Caenorhabditis elegans: one gene and its partners. The protein of the gene in region 1 purifies or fractionates together with the protein of each later gene. This does not show direct contact. Each region holds a gene or a part of one and is shown on either strand. Other genes may lie near its edges.

What was found.
Region 2: the proteins of gdh-1 (region 1) and gspd-1 fractionate together in Caenorhabditis elegans (co-fractionation; one large-scale study listed by BioGRID). This does not show direct contact.
Region 3: the proteins of gdh-1 (region 1) and emg-1 fractionate together in Caenorhabditis elegans (co-fractionation; one large-scale study listed by BioGRID). This does not show direct contact.
Region 4: the proteins of gdh-1 (region 1) and nol-14 fractionate together in Caenorhabditis elegans (co-fractionation; one large-scale study listed by BioGRID). This does not show direct contact.

What each region holds. Positions count from the first base shown.
Region 1 is NC_003282.8:11,951,350-11,956,081, forward strand, and holds gdh-1 (Glutamate dehydrogenase), read left to right. Parts: upstream 1-1,899; 5' UTR 1,900-1,902; coding exon 1,903-2,178; intron 2,179-2,225; coding exon 2,226-2,630; intron 2,631-2,675; coding exon 2,676-3,339; intron 3,340-3,599; coding exon 3,600-3,865; 3' UTR 3,866-4,192; downstream 4,193-4,732. Other genes in the region: tbx-36 (Putative T-box protein 36), read left to right, coding at 173-727.
Region 2 is NC_003282.8:11,315,419-11,320,460, forward strand, and holds gspd-1 (Glucose-6-phosphate 1-dehydrogenase), read left to right. Parts: upstream 1-2,000; 5' UTR 2,001-2,002; coding exon 2,003-2,128; intron 2,129-2,181; coding exon 2,182-2,388; intron 2,389-2,804; coding exon 2,805-2,880; intron 2,881-2,924; coding exon 2,925-3,177; intron 3,178-3,235; coding exon 3,236-3,537; intron 3,538-3,598; coding exon 3,599-3,736; intron 3,737-3,788; coding exon 3,789-3,990; intron 3,991-4,041; coding exon 4,042-4,218; intron 4,219-4,271; coding exon 4,272-4,359; 3' UTR 4,360-4,533; downstream 4,534-5,042. Other genes in the region: pfd-4 (putative prefoldin subunit 4), read left to right, coding at 1-58, 132-293; B0035.18 (Mitochondrial cytochrome c oxidase subunit VIc/VIIs domain-containing protein), read left to right, coding at 4,902-5,042. UniProt on the Caenorhabditis elegans protein: Cytosolic glucose-6-phosphate dehydrogenase that catalyzes the first and rate-limiting step of the oxidative branch within the pentose phosphate pathway/shunt, an alternative route to glycolysis for the dissimilation of carbohydrates and a major source of reducing power and metabolic intermediates for fatty acid and nucleic acid biosynthetic processes.
Region 3 is NC_003281.10:10,647,564-10,651,432, forward strand, and holds emg-1 (Ribosomal RNA small subunit methyltransferase nep-1), read left to right. Parts: upstream 1-1,955; coding exon 1,956-2,322; intron 2,323-2,659; coding exon 2,660-2,988; 3' UTR 2,989-3,345; downstream 3,346-3,869. Other genes in the region: orc-4 (ORC (Origin Recognition Complex) subunit), read left to right, coding at 55-223, 615-728, 954-1,095, 1,148-1,250.
Region 4 is NC_003279.8:322,104-329,898, forward strand, and holds the start of nol-14 (Nucleolar protein 14), read left to right. Parts: upstream 1-1,751; 5' UTR 1,752-1,756; coding exon 1,757-1,831; intron 1,832-1,875; coding exon 1,876-2,137; intron 2,138-2,185; coding exon 2,186-2,550; intron 2,551-3,195; coding exon 3,196-3,945; intron 3,946-4,855; coding exon 4,856-5,142; intron 5,143-5,743; coding exon 5,744-5,876; intron 5,877-7,795. Other genes in the region: xpo-2 (Exportin-2), read right to left, coding at 1-285, 682-990, 1,040-1,249.

The DNA of each region.
Region 1 (4,732 bases):
TACAGGTTTTCCGCCAAAATCAAAAACCTACCGAGACCCAACGTTTTGTGGCGGGGCGTTTTTGCACCTTGATTTCAAAAGGGGCATTTTTTGCGTCCCCAATAATCAGCATGTTTGAAAACCAAAACGATTAATTGCGCAATGGTCATTTAGACTTTTTTCAAATTTTCAGGTGTGTCTCTCCTCGAGAACAATGTATCAAATCCGAGTTGTGTTGTATGAGATGCAAAACGACGAACTGATATACCTGAAGGAAACGAAATTCGACGAAATGATATTCATCACTTGCACTGAATATCGTGGACAAGTCAATCGTGAATTGAAGAAGAGTATGAATCGTTTCTCAAGAAAAAGAAAGTATGAAATCAGTGGAACAAAGTGCCAGCGTTCGAAACGTCCAGCAAAACTTCCTGTCGAATCTCTAGATGAGAAGGAACTAAAAAATGCTGAAAAGGGAATCATGAGTTTGCTTGAATCATCACCTTCGTCACCATCGTACCTTTATCAATATCAATACAATTCTCCACAATCAATACCATCTTCTATTTATGACTCTCTCTACCCATCGTCTCCAGAAGAATATCAGATGGTTCATACTTTTCCACAAACAGACCAATTATCTCCTAGTTTTCAAACTTCGCCCACAGTCCATTATGATTTTTATAATCAGCAATATTATGACAATTCATTTCATGAAAACTATTTCCAGTCATACAATCGGTTATAACTTTCGATTTATGCTTATGTCTAGATTTATCCGGTTTCAAATTACTAACCTGTTTTTCTTTTTTATCACAACTAACAAGCTCACGTTTTATCATTCTTGAAATTTTTTCAATAAATAATGAAAATAAAATCAAAAGTGTAGAATTTGTTCTTAAAGGCGCATGAATTCATTCCAATGGGTCTCGTCGGGAGAAAAAGTTTATGGTAGCGCGTCTTGGTGCTCGGATTTTTTAATTATTTTTTTTCCATTTTAAAAATATTTTATGCTCTATGTTTGGTTATGGAAGCGACCACCGAAAAAGCCACATTCTTCAAAAATTTCTGTCAAATCTCTGGGGGAGAAATAAAATTTAAAAATCGGTTGTCTTATTCTGAAGATTATTTACGAAGAATCAAAGATGTCGATCAGTAAAACAAATCGAAAGAGAAACAAAAACAAAACTGGTATTCAAAATTCGTTGAATGAGATTTTTGACGCGAATTTAGCGAGACACTGTCTCGATTCTTTCTCAGATGACGTCGATTGACCCTGCTTCTTTTGTTTTGTTGCTATGCAGATCGTATGTCCTATGCAATAGCACCACACAATATGGGCGAAGATCAATGACACTCGTCCCACTCTTCTTTTTTCCTTCTTCAAATAGGCGGAGCATCTTTTCTCTATTTTTCCCCCGAATGTTGCCTCTATTTCTCTCTTTCTCTAAATATCTATTTGCCAGTCACCTCCTCCTCCTCCTCCATGAAACGCTATCTTTTGCTTGCAGTTTCATCGGTCTCGCCCACCGATGATGGTTGCGCGTTGTCCTGTAAACAGTTTTGTGTTGGGCTCCTCTAGTTTTGAATAGTTATGGCGCCCGCGTCCCCAGGACGAGCTTTTCGTGGCCTAGAAGCGTTTGCCTACTCGCGGGCGGTGCCACATTTTTTTTAGGAAAAAAGGTTTTGATGCCTCTGCCAATTTTTTTTGATTTAAATATTTTTAAACGAGCTATAACTTAAATAATTTCAAACTGCCGCTGAAAATTATTAAAGGCGCATGGATTTCGTGACGAGACCTCCTGGCATTTTCCTTACTTTTCGATTCCGCCCGGATCTTTTCCTCCTTTTTGCACTTTGGCTTCTTATGTAAAATCTCTTATTTGTTTAAATTTTAATTACAAAATATTTTATTTTCAGGTAATGTTGAGCACTCTTTCCAGAGGCGCCCGCTCGGTCGCTGTCCGAAGCTATTCGGCCGCTACTCTCGATGCCCACTCCCAGGTGCTCGACGAGCAGAAGCCAATGGAGGAGCAGGTCAACCCATCTTTCTACAAGATGGTCGACTTTTACTTCAACAAGGGAGCCGAGGTCATCGCTCCAAAACTCGCCGAGGAGCTCAAGTCCAACTCTTTGAGCCAAAAGGATAAGAAGAATCTCGTGTCCGGAATTCTTGGAGCTATCAAGCCAGTTAACAAGGTAAGAATTTTGAGTCTCATTAATTTATCATATTTTATTTTCTTCAGGTCCTTTACATCACCTTCCCAATCCGTCGTGACAATGGAGAGTTCGAGGTTATTGAGGCCTGGCGCGCACAGCATTCTGAGCACAGAACTCCAACCAAGGGAGGTATCCGTTATTCCCTCGATGTGTGCGAAGATGAGGTCAAAGCTTTGTCTGCTCTTATGACTTACAAGTGCGCTGTTGTCGATGTTCCATTCGGAGGAGCTAAGGGAGGAGTCAAGATTGATCCAAAGCAATACACTGATTATGAAATTGAGAAGATCACCCGCCGTATCGCTATCGAATTCGCAAAGAAGGGATTCCTCGGCCCCGGAGTTGATGTCCCAGCCCCAGATATGGGAACCGGAGAGCGTGAAATGGGATGGATCGCTGATACCTACGCCCAAACCATTGGACATTTGGACAGAGTGAGTATAAATTTTTTGTGAGCATGTGAATAATTTTGTTTGCAGGATGCTTCGGCTTGTATCACAGGAAAGCCAATTGTCAGTGGAGGAATTCACGGACGTGTTTCCGCCACCGGACGTGGAGTGTGGAAGGGACTCGAGGTGTTCACCAACGATGCTGATTACATGAAGATGGTCGGTCTTGACACCGGACTCGCTGGAAAGACTGCTATCATCCAAGGATTCGGAAACGTCGGACTTCACACCCACAGATACCTCCACCGTGCTGGATCAAAGGTCATCGGAATCCAGGAGTACGATTGCGCCGTCTACAACCCAGATGGTATTCATCCAAAGGAGCTCGAAGATTGGAAGGACGCCAATGGAACTATCAAGAACTTCCCAGGAGCCAAGAACTTCGACCCATTCACTGAGCTTATGTACGAGAAGTGCGATATCTTCGTTCCAGCTGCTTGCGAAAAGTCGATCCACAAGGAAAATGCTAGCCGCATTCAAGCTAAGATCATCGCCGAGGCTGCCAACGGACCAACTACCCCAGCTGCTGACAGAATTCTTCTTGCTCGTGGAGATTGCCTCATCATCCCAGACATGTACGTCAACTCTGGTGGAGTTACTGTTTCCTACTTCGAGTGGTTGAAGAATCTTAACCATGTTTCCTACGGACGTCTTACATTCAAATATGACGAGGAAGCCAACAAGATGCTTTTGGGTAAGTAAATTTTCGAAATTTGAATTCCTAGACTTGCGTAGAGTAACACAATGAAACGATTTGCAAGTTTTCATCTGTGATAAAATTTTGTTTAGAAACTAACAAGGGCTAGATACTCTTACGCTTGTCACACTTTTCCGTTTATTTTATGAGGAGGGAGAGGAGGCCACTCAACCGTTGTCGTGAAAATGAGTACGTATGCACTCTAGGAAACAAATTGTAAATCAATTCTTTCTGTTTAAAAATGTTTGAATTTTCAGCCTCGGTCCAAGAATCTCTCTCCAAGGCCGTCGGAAAGGATTGCCCAGTTGAACCAAATGCTGCTTTCGCTGCCAAGATCGCTGGAGCTTCCGAGAAAGACATCGTTCACTCTGGACTCGAGTACACAATGCAACGCTCCGGAGAAGCCATCATCCGCACCGCTCACAAGTACAACCTTGGACTTGATATCCGTACTGCTGCCTATGCCAACTCCATCGAGAAGGTCTACAACACCTACAGAACCGCTGGATTCACCTTCACATAAGTACCCACTTCTCACTCATCTCATGGCTCTTGTATCCTCTTTTATGACATCAAATGGCTCCAAGCCAGGTTTAAATAGCTTCGTGTAACCCTTTAGTGCCTTTTCCATAGTTTTCTGTTTCGAAACTATCTAGGTTAACTAAAGTCTAGCTCTGATCTTTTCTGCCTGGTTCGTTCTCACTTTAGTATAATTAAATATTTTATTGGTTCCCCACCCCTTTTCATCCCCACACATAATTTTTTCGTTGTTTGTTGGTTCGGGACGGTTTCGAGACGGAGACCATTCTTCAAAAAAAAATCTCAAAAATAATAAAAAGTTTATTTCCTTAAACACTTCTACATGGTCATTGCAATTTTCCAATGATCATTGGAAAAGAAATTTCAGGGAGCATTAAAAACTTTATCAGACTTGTGTCTTTCTATTTACTATAATTTAGAATTTTCGATAACATATCACTTTCACATTGTGTGCCACTATCAGCTTCAAATTTGGGAATCACCTCCACAATTGTTGCAAAATTTTCGAATTGTCTAAACGAAGTTGATGCTTGGCCGTTTCCATATCAGTTGATCTTTTCCGGCAAAACCTTCGTCGTCAAACTGATGCAATTCCTGGAGAGAATGAAAAGAAATGTTGAAAGATTAAATTGGGTGATCGTTTGAACGAAGCTAATCTGATTGGACAAAAAGAAGAAATGATAAAAGATGATAAAGACAGTTTGGAGGGAATCCCCCATTTCGGTTCGAAGTGTACGCAAATGTTTGAGGGAAATATTTAGAATTGGAGATTTTTTTGAATTTTTGCAGTTACAGAGAAATTTTGGAATGTGCATATCGTGTAGTTTCACAGATTTTAATAGCATACATT
Region 2 (5,042 bases), 640 kb from region 1:
TGAGGATTCAGCATCAATTCCATGCAGAATTGGAAGCTGCTTCGTTCATTTCAATGGGGTGAGCAGTTTTTTTTTTAATTTGAATTGAGAATTAACGTTTGGTTTACACGAAAGTAGTGATTGGTTTTCAGGATAGTCTGAATGAGCATTTGGAAGGAAAGAAGACAACAGCAGAGAAGGTTTTGTCTGAGAAAACCTCCGAGTTGGATGCAATCTCAGCGGACATGGAGCAAATCAAGAAGGTTTTGTACGCCAAATTCGGAGATCAGATCAATTTGGACGCTGAAGAATAATCTATAAATTCTAATTTCTTATTTTGCTCGATTTTGTATCTTTTCCGTTGAAGCTTTCATATATAAAAATTATCTCAATTTAAAAATTGCTTTTCTCACCTTTTTCACAACGTGTGCTCACTGTTCACTGTTTCCGCGTATTTTGCTGATGAATTTTTTCGACCGATTTTCCTTATCACGAATGGCACCACCCACTTGTGGGTCACACCAGATCCTAAATATCAATATAGTGGACGGGAAGAGGAAGGTTTTTTCGTGTTTGGTGTTCATTTTAGTTTACATGTTTTGTTTCCCATTGCTCTTTATTTATAGAGGAGACGCTCGCCCACGTAATATAATAGCATTTTGGAAAAATCCATTATCTTTCAGACAATCTTATCATGATTTCCACAATAGACTGGCTAGAATGTAGCATTCTAAATATTTGAATTTAACAGAAAATATTCAATTTCTCTTTAAAAAAATACTTGAAAATTAATTATATTCCCAAATTGGCAACATTCTTTCCCGATTGTCTTTCTGTCCATTTAATTTGTCTGCCCTTTCTTTTCTCACCTTTTTTATCCGTTTCTTTCTTTGTCACCTCCGAAGTTTTGTCAGCATTTTCCGTTTTTTTCTCCTCATATTTTGTTTGCACTTTTCACCTTCTAAAAAAATGATCGGCAGAGACACAAATAAATGTGGCCATTCGTGTGCTCCGTTTTCCAAATGAAACCCGATTGGCAGAATTTATGGTTGAAAATGCATAGTTATTTAGGAGTTGCAAAGAACAGTTTTCATTCTTCTTTTTCTTTGTCTTCTTGTTAATTTGGTAAACTGATCAGACGTTAATCAAATTGATAAACTTTCAAGTTCAGTGATTTTTGATTTGTTTTCTGAAAACGAAATTAGTTTTTTCTCTGATAGACTAAGTCTTCGAAGAATTCATCTTCCAGATAAAATCCAAAAAAAATGTGTTCCAGAATATCCTAGTCGGTCAACTAAAAGTCAAGAACCATAGATTAAATCTAGAGTTACAAAGTTTCGTCTCTTCTCCAGAGTCAAGTTACTCGAGTTTTTATGTTTCCTAGAGAAATACATTGTTTCTTTTCATTGTCGATCAATGTCGCCCAGAGAACATTATTTGTCATGGTTACCACTCGCACACACTACACAATTTCATTCAGTCATCATTTTTTGTGACCCGAGAAGATTTCAGTAAATATTTTCATGTTTGTAAAGAGACTGGCGCATCCACTTTTCTCTTACTGTTTCTTTCTTCTCTCGCTGCCCTGTGAAAAAAATGGAAGTGGAGTAAAAAGTGACCGATTTATAGTGTTGTTCCAGTTGTTCCAATTCATTTATATTGTAGACTGCGGTTCGCTACTAGGTATATGATTCGAAAGGAAAAATTACATTTTTTAGTGCTAGAAATTAACATTATTCCATTAAATGTAACTAGCTGAAAGTAAGCAGTTTATTACTCTGCCAGTAAAAAAGAATTGCGCAGAATCATTATGAAGTACATCAATATATCAATTAACGTATTTCTTTTTGATTTTTCGTTGTATAAATGAAACAATAATCTCACTTTTAAATAACATTTATGTGTATCTAGATGGTTTACTTTGAAACTTGTAGTTTCTACTATTTACCTCTCAACACGAGTAATTTTTGTGAATCAATGTTCGTCATTCTCACTTCAAAATCTAGTTTATAAATTTACAGAAATGGCATGCAAACGTCATTCAGTGTCCGATCCCATTTCGAAGGATCTCGTCGAGTGTCTTCGTGAATCAATGCAAAGAGATCTCAAATTTGAGACTCCGTACGTTTTCGTGATATTTGGAGCATCGGTATGACATCTATTCCATATATATCGATTATTAATTATTTAACATTTTTTCAGGGAGATCTCGCAAAAAAGAAAATATACCCAACACTGTGGTGGTTGTTCCGTGACAACCTTTTGCCAGTCAACATCAAATTTATTGGATATGCCCGTTCCGATCTGACAGTTTTCAAGCTTCGTGAATCTTTTGAGAAAAACTGTAAAGTTCGAGAAAATGAGAAATGTGCTTTTGATGACTTCATCAAGAAGTGCTCATACGTTCAGGTAAATCTACATCTGCTAATAAATAGGCGTGAAACTTTGTTCCAAAAATACAGTGCTCGGTCTCGACACCACAAATTTGTGTTAAATGCGAAAACGTATCACCTTTAAACAGTACTGTAGCTTCAAGCTTTTGTCGATTTCAGATTTTAAAAAAATTGTTTTAAAACTGAAAAAAAATAATTGCAACACATACATTTTTTTTACAAATCAGGTAGGAAAACTACGAAAACCAACAAAAACTTGAAACTACAGTACTCTTTAAAGGCGCGCACTTTTTTGCATTCAACAAAAATTGTGGGGTCGAGACCGGTTACCGTATTTTTCGCACAAAATCTTGTTACTGGGTAATAAAAATTTGAATCGAAGCTTTTTTCTAGAAACTTTGAACATAAAAAGCACCATTGACATTTTTTCAGGGCCAATACGACACTTCTGAAGGATTCCAACGCCTTCAATCTTCAATTGATGATTTCCAAAAAGAAAGCAATAATCGTAGGTTTAGAATTAAATTTCACTCAATCTAAGCAAATTTATAGAAGCCGTCAATCGTCTCTACTACCTCGCTCTTCCTCCATCAGTTTTCAACGTGGTTTCTACGGAATTAAAGAAGAATTGTATGGATCATGGTGATTCATGGACACGTGTTATCATAGAAAAACCATTTGGACATGATTTGAAATCATCTTGTGAACTTTCAACTCATTTGGCGAAACTTTTTAAAGAAGATCAAATCTACCGTATTGATCATTATCTCGGAAAAGAAATGGTTCAGAATTTGATGGTTATGCGGTAAGAATGTTTTTTCAAAGTATTTGAAGAGATTTATAATTTTATTTTGAACTTTCAGATTTGGAAACCGAATTCTCGCTCCATCTTGGAACCGCGATCACATTGCATCAGTTATGATCTCATTTAAAGAAGATTTTGGAACTGGTGGCCGTGCTGGATATTTTGATACAGCTGGAATTATCCGTGATGTTATGCAGAATCATTTGATGCAAATTCTAACTTTAGTCGCCATGGAGAAACCAGCAAGTTTGAATGCTGAAGATATTCGTGATGAAAAGGTCAAAGTGTTGAAAGCTGCTAAAGTTGTAGAATTAAAGGATGTAGTAGTTGGACAATACATTGCCAGTCCTGAATTTGATCGTGAGTTTTTCAAAAATTACAATTTTATAAAAGTTTTGATTTTTAAATACATTAATTTTAGACCCAGAAGCATCACAAGGATACAAAGATGACAAATCAGTTCCAGCCGATTCGACTACTCCAACGTATGCTCTTGCTGTTGTTCACATCAATAATGAACGTTGGGAGGGTGTTCCATTCTTCTTGCGTTGTGGAAAAGGTAGGGAATATACAAAAAAAAACCGAATTTTTAAATTTCAATATTATTGCAGCTCTCAACGAGAAGAAAGCAGAAGTTCGTATACAATTCAAAGAAGTCAGTGGAGATATCTATCCGTCTGGTGAATTAAAGCGATCCGAATTAGTGATGAGAGTGCAACCAAATGAGGCAGTTTACATGAAACTGATGACCAAGAAACCTGGAATGGGATTCGGTGTTGAAGAAACTGAACTTGATTTGACTTATAATAATAGGTTAGTTTTTGAAATTTCTCTTCAAAAAAAATTTCATTGTGATAATTTCAGATTCAAAGAAGTCCGTCTTCCTGATGCTTATGAACGCCTATTTCTCGAAGTATTCATGGGATCTCAAATTAATTTCGTTCGAACTGATGAGCTTGAATACGCTTGGCGTATTTTGACGCCAGTTCTCGAAGAGCTTAAAAAGAAGAAAGTTCAACCGGTTCAATATAAATTTGGAAGGTTGGTTGTGTTTCTTTTTTTTTAAAATTAAATACAGTAATCCAATTTTTCAGTCGTGGTCCAACTGAAGGTGACGAATTGATGAAAAAGTACGGTTTCATCTTCACTGGAACATACAAATGGGTTGCTCCAAAGCTATAAATGATACCAGATCTTCCTCTATTCATTCTCTTTCAAATGTTTGTAGAAATAACTTCAAAAATTCAGCAGCTACTAGTTCATATGTTTTCCTGTGTTCCACATCAATATTATTCCTGCTCTTTTTTCATTTGTTAATGTTCTATTGAATGAATGAAAATAAATACGTTTTCAGTTAAAAGAAGTGTAGAACGATAAGATAAGCCAGTAAAAAGGCTTATTTTAAATAATCTGTATTCAAAAAATAATCATTTTTTCGACAAGCCGGTTACGGTGCGCCAGTCCGCAAACACTCTGCATACACTCTACTTCTACAGTAGTGGACGTGCGACGCGTGTTGCGTCGCGCATCATCATATTGTTCAATTCTTGTTCAAGTTCAATCATATTTTCTTCGGATTTCTATCATTTTCCATCGGATTTCCCATCATTTTTGCACAAATGTTTTAAAGTATCAATATCTTTGATTTAAAAAAAAACGTCTTTCTTGTTTTACGTCTTTTTCTTGCTAGCTGCACATCGTATTACTCATTCTTTTTTTCAGCCATGGTTGCTGCTTCCGCTACCCGGAACATGCTCCAATCATATGGAAAACGTGGAATTTACGTTTCACTTGCTGTCGCTGTCGTCTCGACTGCCGCATTCAACGCATTTTACGTTTGGCCACGTCACAACAAATATGAAGAG
Region 3 (3,869 bases), on another chromosome or scaffold:
AAATAAAATCATATTTTTCGGCTTTTCAACCCCCATTAAAGTCCATATTCTCAGACAAGTCACTACGTCGTTCTGAAACAATTGGCCGCGCAATTCCTGATGCTTTTCGGTTACTATTGTGACGTAGAAGACACGTGGAAACCCGAGGAAATCAGCAAACAGATTCGTAAAATTGTCGAGACGACTTCTCCCTCGTATAATGGAAAATTGTTGATTTTAAAAGGTAGAAATTCTGCTAAAACTTTGAAAAAGGCAGAAAAAACCCACGATTTTCTAATTTTGAAAACAAAAAATGAACAATTCAAGTTCACTTTTTGAAATTCCGCAAAGAATTAAAAATTCTGATTTCAAATCTGGAAATTGAGCTGATAAAGTAATTTTTTACCTTTTTTTTTCGGAACAAATTTCAAATTTTAAACAACTTTAAAATGTAAAAAATCATGCAAAAATCGTGATTTTCAATCAAAACCTATTTTAATCTTTACAGCTTTTGAAATTTTTCTGAAAAATTAAAAAAATCCGGTAAAATCTAGAAAAAACTAATTATATACTGTTTTTTCGGCTCAAAAATTTAATAATTCCAGTGAAATTCTAAAAATTTTTCAAATTTTCAGATCAAACAGTTCGAGCACAATGCGTTTTTCTTTGTGTCTGGAGACTTGTGCAGAATAAAGAGTCAGATGGACCACTTTTGGCGCCAAAAACTTCGTATCGAAACGTTTTTCTAGGTATTTTTTAAAATTTATCTCGGAATTTTCGATTTTTCGAATTTTTAAAAATTGAAAAACGAAAAATTTTTCGATTTTTTGAATTTCCGAAAAATTAAGAAAATGTTCAGAAAATTAACCATAAAATATGATTTTTTTTAAATCTAATTTTCGATTATATTGATGAGAAAAAACATGAAAATTTTAAGCTTATTTTTTAAAAATCTATTTTCTCCGTAATTTCAGAATTCAAAAAACTCGTTAATCAACACTATCCTCCACTGAACGTGAGCAGTGATGTCTACGTATTCCGAGAATTGGATCATCTCGTTAAAATGGGAATTTTGAAGGCAGACGAGAGCACAAATGTGACAAATACCTCGTTTCGGTGGGTTTTTTTTTCAGCTGAAAAATTCACCTCAAATCCTCTTTTTTTTCAGAAAAGTTTGGCTTCATATCAATGATAAAATTGTGGAGGACTCGATCTCGAAGTTGCAGCTCCCGCGAGTTGTTTCCGACTTTTTTATGACTATTTTGAAGTAATTTTGATATTTTTTGTACTATTTGCAATGAAGATTGATCTCGATATTTATATTTTTGTTGAGTTTTTTTTTCTGTGAGAATTATTTTCGGTTTAAAAACCATCATATTATTTTTTGAACTTGTTTTATAAAAATCTTTACAGGAGCTTCAAAAATCGAAAAAATAAAATAAAACCATTTTTCGTTAATTCAAAAATCCCGAAATAAAATATTTAGTTAAATTTTCATGTTTTAGGGGAAATTCGACAAAAAAAGGAACTCACTGAAATTTTTGAAAAACCGTTCAAATTTACAAATTTTTTCGTTTTTGAGTTTTTGAGTTTTTTGATTTTCGACTTACATTTTCTCCGCAGAAATTTTTCAGTGTTTTTGACGAAAAAATATCGAAAAACGAAAAAAGAAGTGAAAACTTTTAATTTATCAAAAATTATGTATATTCCTATATTGATAGATATGGAAAATTAGAAATTTTTCCAAAAGTCGAAAAACTCAATTTTATTTCCAAAAAAGCGGCATTTTTTCGAAAATTTTACAGAACGACCTATCGTTGTTCCCACAGCTTTTATTTAAAATTTGTGCTAAACTATAAAAAATCACAATATTATTCAGAAAATAATTTTTTTTTCATCAGAATTATTGAAAATTCGATTTTTGGTCCTAAAAAAATTACTTTATGACAAAAAAAATTAATTTCTCCGAATTTCAGATGTCCCACGAGTACGATACAGTTGCACCGCCAAATGCGAAGCGCATGAAGACGGATAATCAATTGGAGGACAAGAAGATTTTGTACGTTGTACTGGAAGGATGTAGTCTTGAAACTGCAAAAGTCGGTGGAGAATACGCAATTTTGAGCAGTGATAAACACGCGAATTTTCTGAGAAAACAGAAAAAAGATCCGGCTGATTATCGGCCAGATATCCTACATCAATGCTTGTTGAATCTACTTGATAGTCCGCTTAACAGAGCCGGAAAGCTTCGTGTCTTCTTTAGAACGAGCAAGAATGTGCTCGTTGATGTCTCACCACAGTGCAGAATTCCAAGAACTTTTGATCGATTCTGTGGACTTATGGGTGAGTTTTTGGTTTATTGGAAATTGAAAAAAATATATTTTGAAGTGTTTTTGTATGTAAAATAAGAAAAAAGACAATTTTTCGAGTTTTTTAAAAATTATTTTTTATCAAATTTAAACATAAATTTTTAAAAATACCCTTTTCCTTTTAAAAATACCCGGATTCAAAATACCCCAAAATAGTCTGAAAATCAAAAAAAAATTCACAAAAAAGAGCACAAAAATCCAATTTTCAAAAACATGCTTTAAAATACTTTTTATTGGATTTTTTGTGACTTTTCTTGCAATTAGGTATTTTTATGCAAAATCCCCCTATTTTCTATTTTCCATATTTTCAGTCCAACTCCTGCACAAACTCTCCATTCGAGCCGCCGAAACCACTCAAAAGCTGATGTCAGTAGTGAAGAATCCAGTGTCGAACCATCTTCCAGTGGGATCCCGTAAGATGCTCATGTCGTTCAATGTACCTGAGCTAACAATGGCTAATAAGCTTGTTGCACCGGAAACCGACGAGCCTCTGGTCCTTATTATCGGTGGAATTGCTCGTGGAAAGATCGTCGTCGATTACAACGATTCTGAGACCAAGATCAGCAATTATCCATTGAGTGCAGCGTTGACTTGTGCCAAAGTGACCAGTGGACTTGAGGAGATTTGGGGAATTATTTAATTGATTTTTTGCAGTTTTTTCATTTTATTGTTGTCTGTTTTTGTTACTATCTTCATCTTATAAAGTGCAAAATCACTTTTTTTTTTCGAAAAAAAATGCCGTTTTTTTGTAAATTTCAATGTCTATTTCTTACTTTTACACTGAAATTGTTTTAAAAAAATCAAATATTCTAAAAACCCAAAAAATTAGTTTTTTCTTTGATTTTCCTTTCGTAGAGTTCTCTTTTTTTTTTATTTTTTCAGTTTTATTAGGTAGTAATTTAAAACGTTTTAAAATTTTACAATATTTGGCATAAAATTCGGCAAAAACTTTTTTTTTTCAGAAAAATTCTAAATAAAAAAGTCCAGGAGCCTAACTTTTCAGTTTTTACCAATTTTTCAGACAAAATCGAAGAATAATCGTGAAAAATGCGATTTTTTCGCTAAAAATACGGTAGCTGGTATCGAAGCGACAATTTTTTTAGTTGCAGAAGGATGTGCGCCTTTAAAGAGTACTGTAGTTTTAAACTTTCGTTGTTGCGGAATTTTTATTGATTTTTTGTAGTTTTTCGATAAATTATCGATTAAAAAAAAAAGATAAACTCAAATAAAAAATTAAAAAATACAAGAAAACTGTAAAATATTATAAATTTCAACATAACTGGAGAAAAACTGTAAAAAAATTTGAAAAAAAAAAACAATTTTCATATTTTCTCTCCAGTTCTGATAGAATTTCTGACATTTTAAACTTTTTTTTTTACTTTTTATCATAAAAACTATGGCAAATTAAGGAAAATTCTGCAGAAATGAAATTTGGAAATTACAGTACTCTTTAAAGGCGCACAATATTTGGCATAAAAAATCTTCGCTTCGAGACCAGGTACAGTAGTTTTGACACCGAAA
Region 4 (7,795 bases), on another chromosome or scaffold:
GATCTCACAGATCTCGTGCTTAAGCTCGTCCAGAGTTGTAGGTTCTCCCGAGTTGGAGGTCTGCGTCGGCGCGTCGATTTGCACGAGATGCAAGAAGTGTGGCATCCAGTCCTTGAGATGATCCTCGAAGTATTCCGGAATCTCCTGTGAGCACAGAGAATGGTAGACTTTTGCAATGAGAAGTAAGACTCGGAGCCATTGGGCGATCTCGTCGGCTCCGAGTTGATCCTTCCGCTGTCCCACCTCCATCATGTTCCGTAGCAACAGAGTTAGAGGCTCTTGGGTCTGAAAAATCGGTTCTTTTTATTTGTAACTGAAAAATCTGGGGAGAAAACAGTTTTTCGGTCCAAATTCGAGACTGACATTCAGATTTCTTCAATTTTTTGGCTCAAAAATTTTGAAAATTTGTCCATTTTTATAGGAAAATTATCAATTTTCGCCAAAAATTCCTCATTTTTGCTTTAGTTAAAATTTTTGACTAAAAAATCATAAAATGTTGAATTTTTCACGATTTTTCGGAAAACAAGGCCAGCTTTAGCTAGCTTAAATGTCTAATTTTGGTCATTTTTTAGGGTCAAAGCGGACAAAAATTCAACTTCCGACGGCTGCGACGTAAAAAAGTGGCCAAAATTGGGGATTTTAGCTGAAATTAGCCAAATTTTGAGCCAAAACGCAACTCACGCTCAGTAGACACTTCTTCAGCTCTTTCCAAAGCTCTGCTGACTTGGATTCGAATCGGAATTTGCGGAAAATCTGCTCCATCGACGCCAGCGAGGCCACCAGGTGATTGAGATCCGCTCCGTTCAGGAATTTCGACAAATATGGAACCAAATCTGGCCATTTTTCGGGAAAATCTCTCTGAGCGATGAGATACAGAGCATTGGACAGGATTTCCTGAACATTTGATTTTGTATTGAACATCGCTTCGAGAAGCATGCTTCTGAACTGCTCCTCGTCTTCCTGGCCCATTTCTACCTCTGGTGCCGGGCCCTGAAACAATTTAAATATAAAATTCACGCATTTATTCAAATTTTCCAACCCAATTTCTCTTCACAAAATTTTTCAAAGCGACAGCCGCGGCGATTCGGATCTGCGGAGCAATTTGTTGCTGTTCGTTGACCACCAGTTGAAGAATTTGAATGATATAGCCTGGATTTGATTGCAGCGAGCGGAGCGCTTCTTCTCCACGCTTGCGAATCGCAGCATCCGGCTCCAGAGTCTGCTGGAGAGCTGCTCCGATTTGCTCCATCTGAAAATAGGGAAAAATAGCTGTTTTGGGGGTGAAATAGGGAAGAATTAGGTGAAAGGACAAAGATAGTTTAGCTTAAAACTTGAAATCTAAAATTTCCGGTCAAAATATTAAAGTTTTACGCAATTTTTCGCAGGCCCGCGGGGAATAAACTCGCAAAAATTCGCAAAAATAAAAAAAAAATTTCAAAAGTGTGAAGTGTTTGCGTACAGCGCACCCGACCCGACGCGCAAATTTTTTTCATTATGTTCTCTGTTTTCACTGATTTTTACTGATTTTTCCTAGTTTTCCCTTGATTTTCTTCAAATTTTCCACTTTTTCAGCAAAACGTGCATAAAAAAATAAATTAAAACATTTCAATTTTCAAAACTTTGCAAAATAAAGGCGTCGTTGCGTACAATGCGCACGACTTGACGCGCAAACTTCCCAATTTTTATTCTTAAATTTTCCTGGATACCCCTGGTTTTTTCTCTGTTTCCCCCCTAATTTTTCGCATTTTCAGCAAACATGGGTGTTGATAAAAAGCAAAAGCAACGAAAAACCAATCCATTCGAGCTAAAATTCAACAAATCCAAGCATGACGTGAGTTTTTCAGAGTTTTGAAGAAAAAATCGATTTTCTCGCAGATTCTCGGCCGGAAAAAGGGCGCACAAGTTGGAGCACCGACTGCGTCACGAAAACGAGCTCACGAGCAACGTGAACAGACGCTAGGCGTAGAATATGACCGGAAAAATAAGATTAGCAAAATTGTCGACAAACGGCTCGGCGAAAAGGACGGAAAAAGCGAGGAGGAGAAGGGCGCGATGAGATTCACAGAGGAAAGAGTCAAAAATTATAAAAGAGCATCGAAATTCAACTTGACAGATGATGGAGATGAGGAGGAAGAAGGTTTATTCCGAAATAAATTGAGAAAAATTTTAATAAAGTAAATTTCAGTACTTACTCACAAGGGAAAAGCGCTCTCGGACATTGAAAAATACGACAAATCGATGATTTCCGACTCGGATGACGATGAAGAGCCGGGAAATTTGGGCTCAAATATGGTAAAAGTGGCTCATTTCGGTGGTGGAGAGAAGACCGCCGAGGAGCACGTCCGCGAAAAAATCAGCCGAGAGGATATGATTTCGAATTTGATTGCGAAAACGAAGCTGGCGCGTCACGAGAAGCAACAGCAGAAGGATGAGCTCGAGCTGATGACAGAGTCGTTGGATTCCAAGTATCAGGCTTTGATGGGCAAAATGAAGGCTTCATTTAGGCCGACCGGGCGCCAGCCGCTGGAAAAAGATGATTACGACAAATTGGTACGGGAAACATCCCGGTTTTCTCCAAATTTTTAAGATAAAAGATAATTATAAATTTAGAGTGAAAATCGATTTTTTTCACAATTTTTTAGTGGAAAACCTAAAACCCAAAAAACTTGATCTGAAAATGCTAATTTTTAACCATTTTTGCTATGGAAATTGGAAATTTTCATTAATTTTGCTGTAAAAGTTGAAGAAATCCAAGTTTTAGCTTTGTAATCAGAGAAAACACTGTAAAATTATTTCGGAATTTGTGCAATTTGAAGTGAAAAATAAAACATTTAACTTCTTATCGCGAAAGAAATTGAGCTGAACTGAGAATTTTTTTGACGAAAAATCATTAAAAAGTCAATTTTTTTGACAAAAATTCGAGAAAAGTCGGTTTTTCTTTTGACAAAAATGACGAAAAAGGCAATTTTTAATTTAAAAAAATAAATTTTTCGCCGAAAAATAACTTTAAAAAAGTCGTTTTTTTACAAAATAAAACAATTTAAAATAACTATTTTTCGACAAAAAAATTAAGAAAAAGCCAATTTTTTTGTTTAAAAAATGATAGAAAAAGGCTTTTTTTTTGTTTCTTCGCCTAAAAAATCAAGAAAAATAGGTTTTATTCCATTTTTTATCCAAAAATTATTATTTTTCCAGACAATCACCTTGAAAACCGAAGCCGACGCTCGTGCCACCCCAGCAGATCGTAAGCTATCCGAAGAAGAAGAAGCTCTGAAAGAAAAAGAACGTCTGGAAACTCTCGAGGCCGCCCGTATCTCGAAAAATAATGCATTTTTCAACGCAAAATCTCATTTATCAGCCGATGCCGACGTTGATATCGATGCTGGATCGAAGGCCGACGCCAGAAAAGTTCAGGCGAAAAATTCGAGATTTGAGGTCAAATTTGACGATGAAGGTGGCCTGATCGATGAGGATACGGTGGAAAAATCCAGGATTTTAAAGAAAAATCTGGATGGTTCTGATGAATCTGACGATGACGAGGATCTAGAAGATGAGGAAGAGGATCTGGATGATCTACTGGAAGATGAGGATGAGCTGGAAGAAGATTCCGATGATGAGGAAGCTCAGGAAGCCCAAAAAGTCGTCAAAAAAGCGAAAAAATCTGCTCCAGAACCCGCTGAAACTCTGCCATTCGTATTCGAAATGCCGAAAAACTATAAAAAATTCTGTGCTCTTCTGGAAAAACACTCGGAATCGATGGATTTAGTGCTGGAACGACTCGTGAAATGTCATCATCCGAGCCTTAAAGAAGGAAATAAGAAGCGTCTGAATAAGCTTTTCCTCTTGTGTTTAAGATGGTTTGATGATATGTCGAAGGAGGAATTGACAGCGGAAAGTGTGAAGGAAATGAATTTAGCGCAGGAAACTATGCATGCGTTGATGAAGGTAGCGATTGGATGGAAAAGCTGAAAAATTACCGCACTTTTTAATCTGAAAATTGAAAAAATTCGAGAATTTTTGACCTAAAATTTTGAAAAATTCCCGATTTTTATACCCCAAAAATTGCAAAAAAGTCCCGATTTTTTACCAAAAAATGTTTTAAAATCCCCGAATTTTTTACCTAAAAATTGCAAAAAAGTTTCGATATTTAGACCCAAAAATTGCAAAAAAGTCCCGATATTTTTACCAAAAAATGTTTTATAATCCCCGAATTTTTGACCTAAAAATTGCAAAAAAGTCTCGATTTTTAGACCCAAAAATTGCAAAAAAGTCCCGAATTTTTTACCAAAAAATGTTTTAAAATCCCCGAATTTTTGACCTAAAAATTGCAAAAAAGCCGGTTTTTTTACAAAAAAATGTTTTAAAATCCCCGAATTTTTGACCGAAAAATTGCAAAAAAGTCTCGATTTTTAGACCCAAAAATTGCAAAAAAGTCCCGAATTTTTTACCAAAAAATGTTTTAAAATCCCCGAATTTTTTGACCTAAAAATTGCAATAAATTCCAAAAACTTTGGCCAAAAAATTAAAAAAAATACCCGAATGTTTGACCCAAAAATTGCAAAAAAGCCCCGATTTTTTGAGAAAAATCATGTGAAATTAAAACCTTTTTTTTTTGAAAATCAGTCTCGAAAAAAAAAAGAAAAACCAGGAAAATCATGAAAATTTAAGAAAAAAATCATTAAAAATAGGAAACGATCATGGAAATATTTTTAAAGAAACATTATATAAAAAATCATTAAAATTTCAGAAAAAAAATATGGAAAATCCTGAAAATAAAGAAAATAATATTAAAAATTCAGATTAAAAAACGCAAAAAATTCAACAATTGAAAAAAATTTCAAATTGTTTTTTGCAGTTCGACATTCAATACGGAGTCCGATGTGTGCGTGCTCTAATCCGTCAACACTGGAAAGGCCGCCAGGATAAACAGAAGAGTAGCCCAGTGTCATTTGGATTAATCTCTGCAATTCGTCTTGTTTCCGGCCTCTTCCCAGTTGCCGATTCCTGGCATCCTGTAGTGGTTCCGGCTCTTTTTTTGGCAACTGAAGCACTTTGCTCGGCGAAATGTGCCAATTTGAATGCGTTGGCTAAACAAATTCAATTGGCTAATGCTATTGTTGAATATGTGTCTGAATCCAAGAGGTAATACTTGGAAACGAACATTTAAATAGGCAAATTTTGAAAAAAATACTGAAAGCTTTGATATAAAATAGGAAAAGTAACGAAAAAAAAAGCCAAAACCACCAAAAATATTATTTTCAAAAGCTAACTCAAAAAATTTAAAATTCAGAATTGTCGCTTAAAAAAATCTATTTTTTTCGATATCGAAAAAAGATTACTATAAAAATTCAAAAAAGCAATTTTTTAAAATATAACTTGATTTTTTTTTCTGAAGTTCATTTTTTAACAAATAATTGCATTAATTTTCCATTTTAATGTTAAAAAAAAGCGAATTTTTCAAAAATTGATATAAATTTTGTTTTGGCAATTTTTAGATCAGAAAACATTGAAAAAATACAAAAATCCCGTTTTTTTTTAAATTAATTTTTTAGAAAAAATTGCAATTTTTCAAAAATCTTCCGGTCATTTCTCTATTTTTAAAAAATCTCTCGTCTCTTTTAAAAAAATTTAAAAAACCGAATTATCGAAGCGTATCAAAATTTTGAAATTAAAAAAAAAACCGAACTCCATTTTTACGAAAAATCCGAAAGTTGAAAATTGTTTTCAATAAAATAAATTTCAGATACGTCCCCGAGCTGGTCGCATTTGCTCGAAGTGCTCTTCTGCTTGCAGTTACAGAGAAAAGTGAGAAATTCGCGACAAATGGATTCCCGATTTCCAAGCCACACACGGAAATGTTATGCTTTGAGGAGAAGGTAAATTTATAAAATTTGTTTTTTTGAGCAAAAAATTGGTTTTTTTTTTTGGTTTTCTCTTTAAAAAAATTTGCTTAAAAACGCTCAATATTTAAAAAAAAAACTGGCAAAATCGAATTTTATAATATAAATTAAAAATTTTGTTCAAATAAAAATGATTTTTTTTTGAAAATTTAGTTTTGAAAAATTTAAAATTAAATTTTAAATTTTCACAAAATTGCCAATGATAAAATGTTCACTTTTTCTTGTATAAAACTGCTTGAAATTTTTTAAAAGCAATTTTCCGAAAAATAATTTTTTAATAGATTTCTGAAAAACCGAAAAACCACCGATTGAAAAACGAAAATCAAGTTTTTTTCCGAATTTTCTATTTTTAACAAATTAAATATCAATTTTGCACATACAAAACGGTTAAAAAAAAACAAAAAAAATTGCCGAGAGCCAAAAAAATTTAAGTTTCAGCGATTTTGAAATTTTTTTTTTAGGAAACACGGTCTCCTCGGGTGGAAACGAAGGGGGAGGGAGATTGCTTGCGCGTTTCACCGATGCGCCTTTCGCGTGCTGGCGCACTTCTGAATATTGAATTATTTTTGCGGAAAAAATTCATTTCTTCTATGAAATTTTCTTGAGAAAGCAAAGGAAAGATGATGAAATGAATTTTTAAAATAGTTTTCTCAGTTAAAAAGAGAATACCTTGCTGCAAAAGGTTAAATTTATTGAAAAATTGAGAAAATAAGAAGTTTATCTTTGTTTTCACTACATAAAGTGGGGAAATCTCAAAAAAATTTGAAGACAATTAAGAAATATAATTAAATATATAGCCTGAAAGTCAAATAAGAAATGAAGGTTTGGTCACAAACAATTTTATTTTTGAATTGAAGTTTTGAGAAATGATCATGTGCCAGAATCACTAAATCTGAGACATTCAGCCCAATTTCTTTAATTTTCTGTGATTTTATCATGGAAGTGTGGCTTTTTCTGTGATCTTGCCAGTTTTAACAAGTTGAAATTGGAAAATCGTGAAGTGGGAAACTAGCAGTGAAGCTTCCAAAAATTTCAAGCCTTACTGAAAGGAAAGTATTGGAAACTAAAAACGAAAGCTTAAGAAGATACCGTTTTTATATATTTGAGTTTTGAAAAGCCTTAATAGGTTTTAAATACAGTTTTCTCAAGAATTCAAACTTGTAACGATTAAGTTGAGGCACAGAATAAGATGGTAATACTAAGTTATGTTGAAAAAAGCCAAGAAAGACTGAAAACATTGCTTTCAATCTGATTTTTTGTAAGTAATGTAATGTTGAAACATTATTCTTCATAGTTCAGCACTTTGTATGGCTTATTTGAGCCCAAACGTACAGTAGTATGTGGCAAGAAATAAAATATTGTGCCAACAAAATTGGAGCCGAAAAACCCATGATAAAATGTTTAATACGTGTATTGCTCTAATAAAATACCAAATATTAATTAGATTCACTGTCTCGACTCTTTTTAATTCAGATTAATAACTTTTAGCTCCTCTTTTTAACGAAAAATTATAACTGGATTTCACAAAAAGAGTTCGATCTGAGTTCTTTCAACAGGTACATAGACGAATTATATCTTAAAATGACGAGAAAAGTTTGCTCTATAAACGTTATCATTGCAGGTTATGAGAAAAACAAATAAAAATTTAATTTTAAAAAATCCGAAAATTCAGTTGTTATTTTCAAACAGTTCGTTATGCATTTCCACCGAACGGTTTCCGATAATTTTTGTTTCTCCACTTTCGGTTCAGTCTACTTTATAATTGTTATCATTTTGAAATAGAAAAATCGACGAAAAACTAATAAAAATCGAGGGAAATCACTCTTCAACGGTGAAATCTCGGTGGACGCAATGAAGCTGCAGCATTTCAAAAAAATTTTAGAAGCAATTTTGGT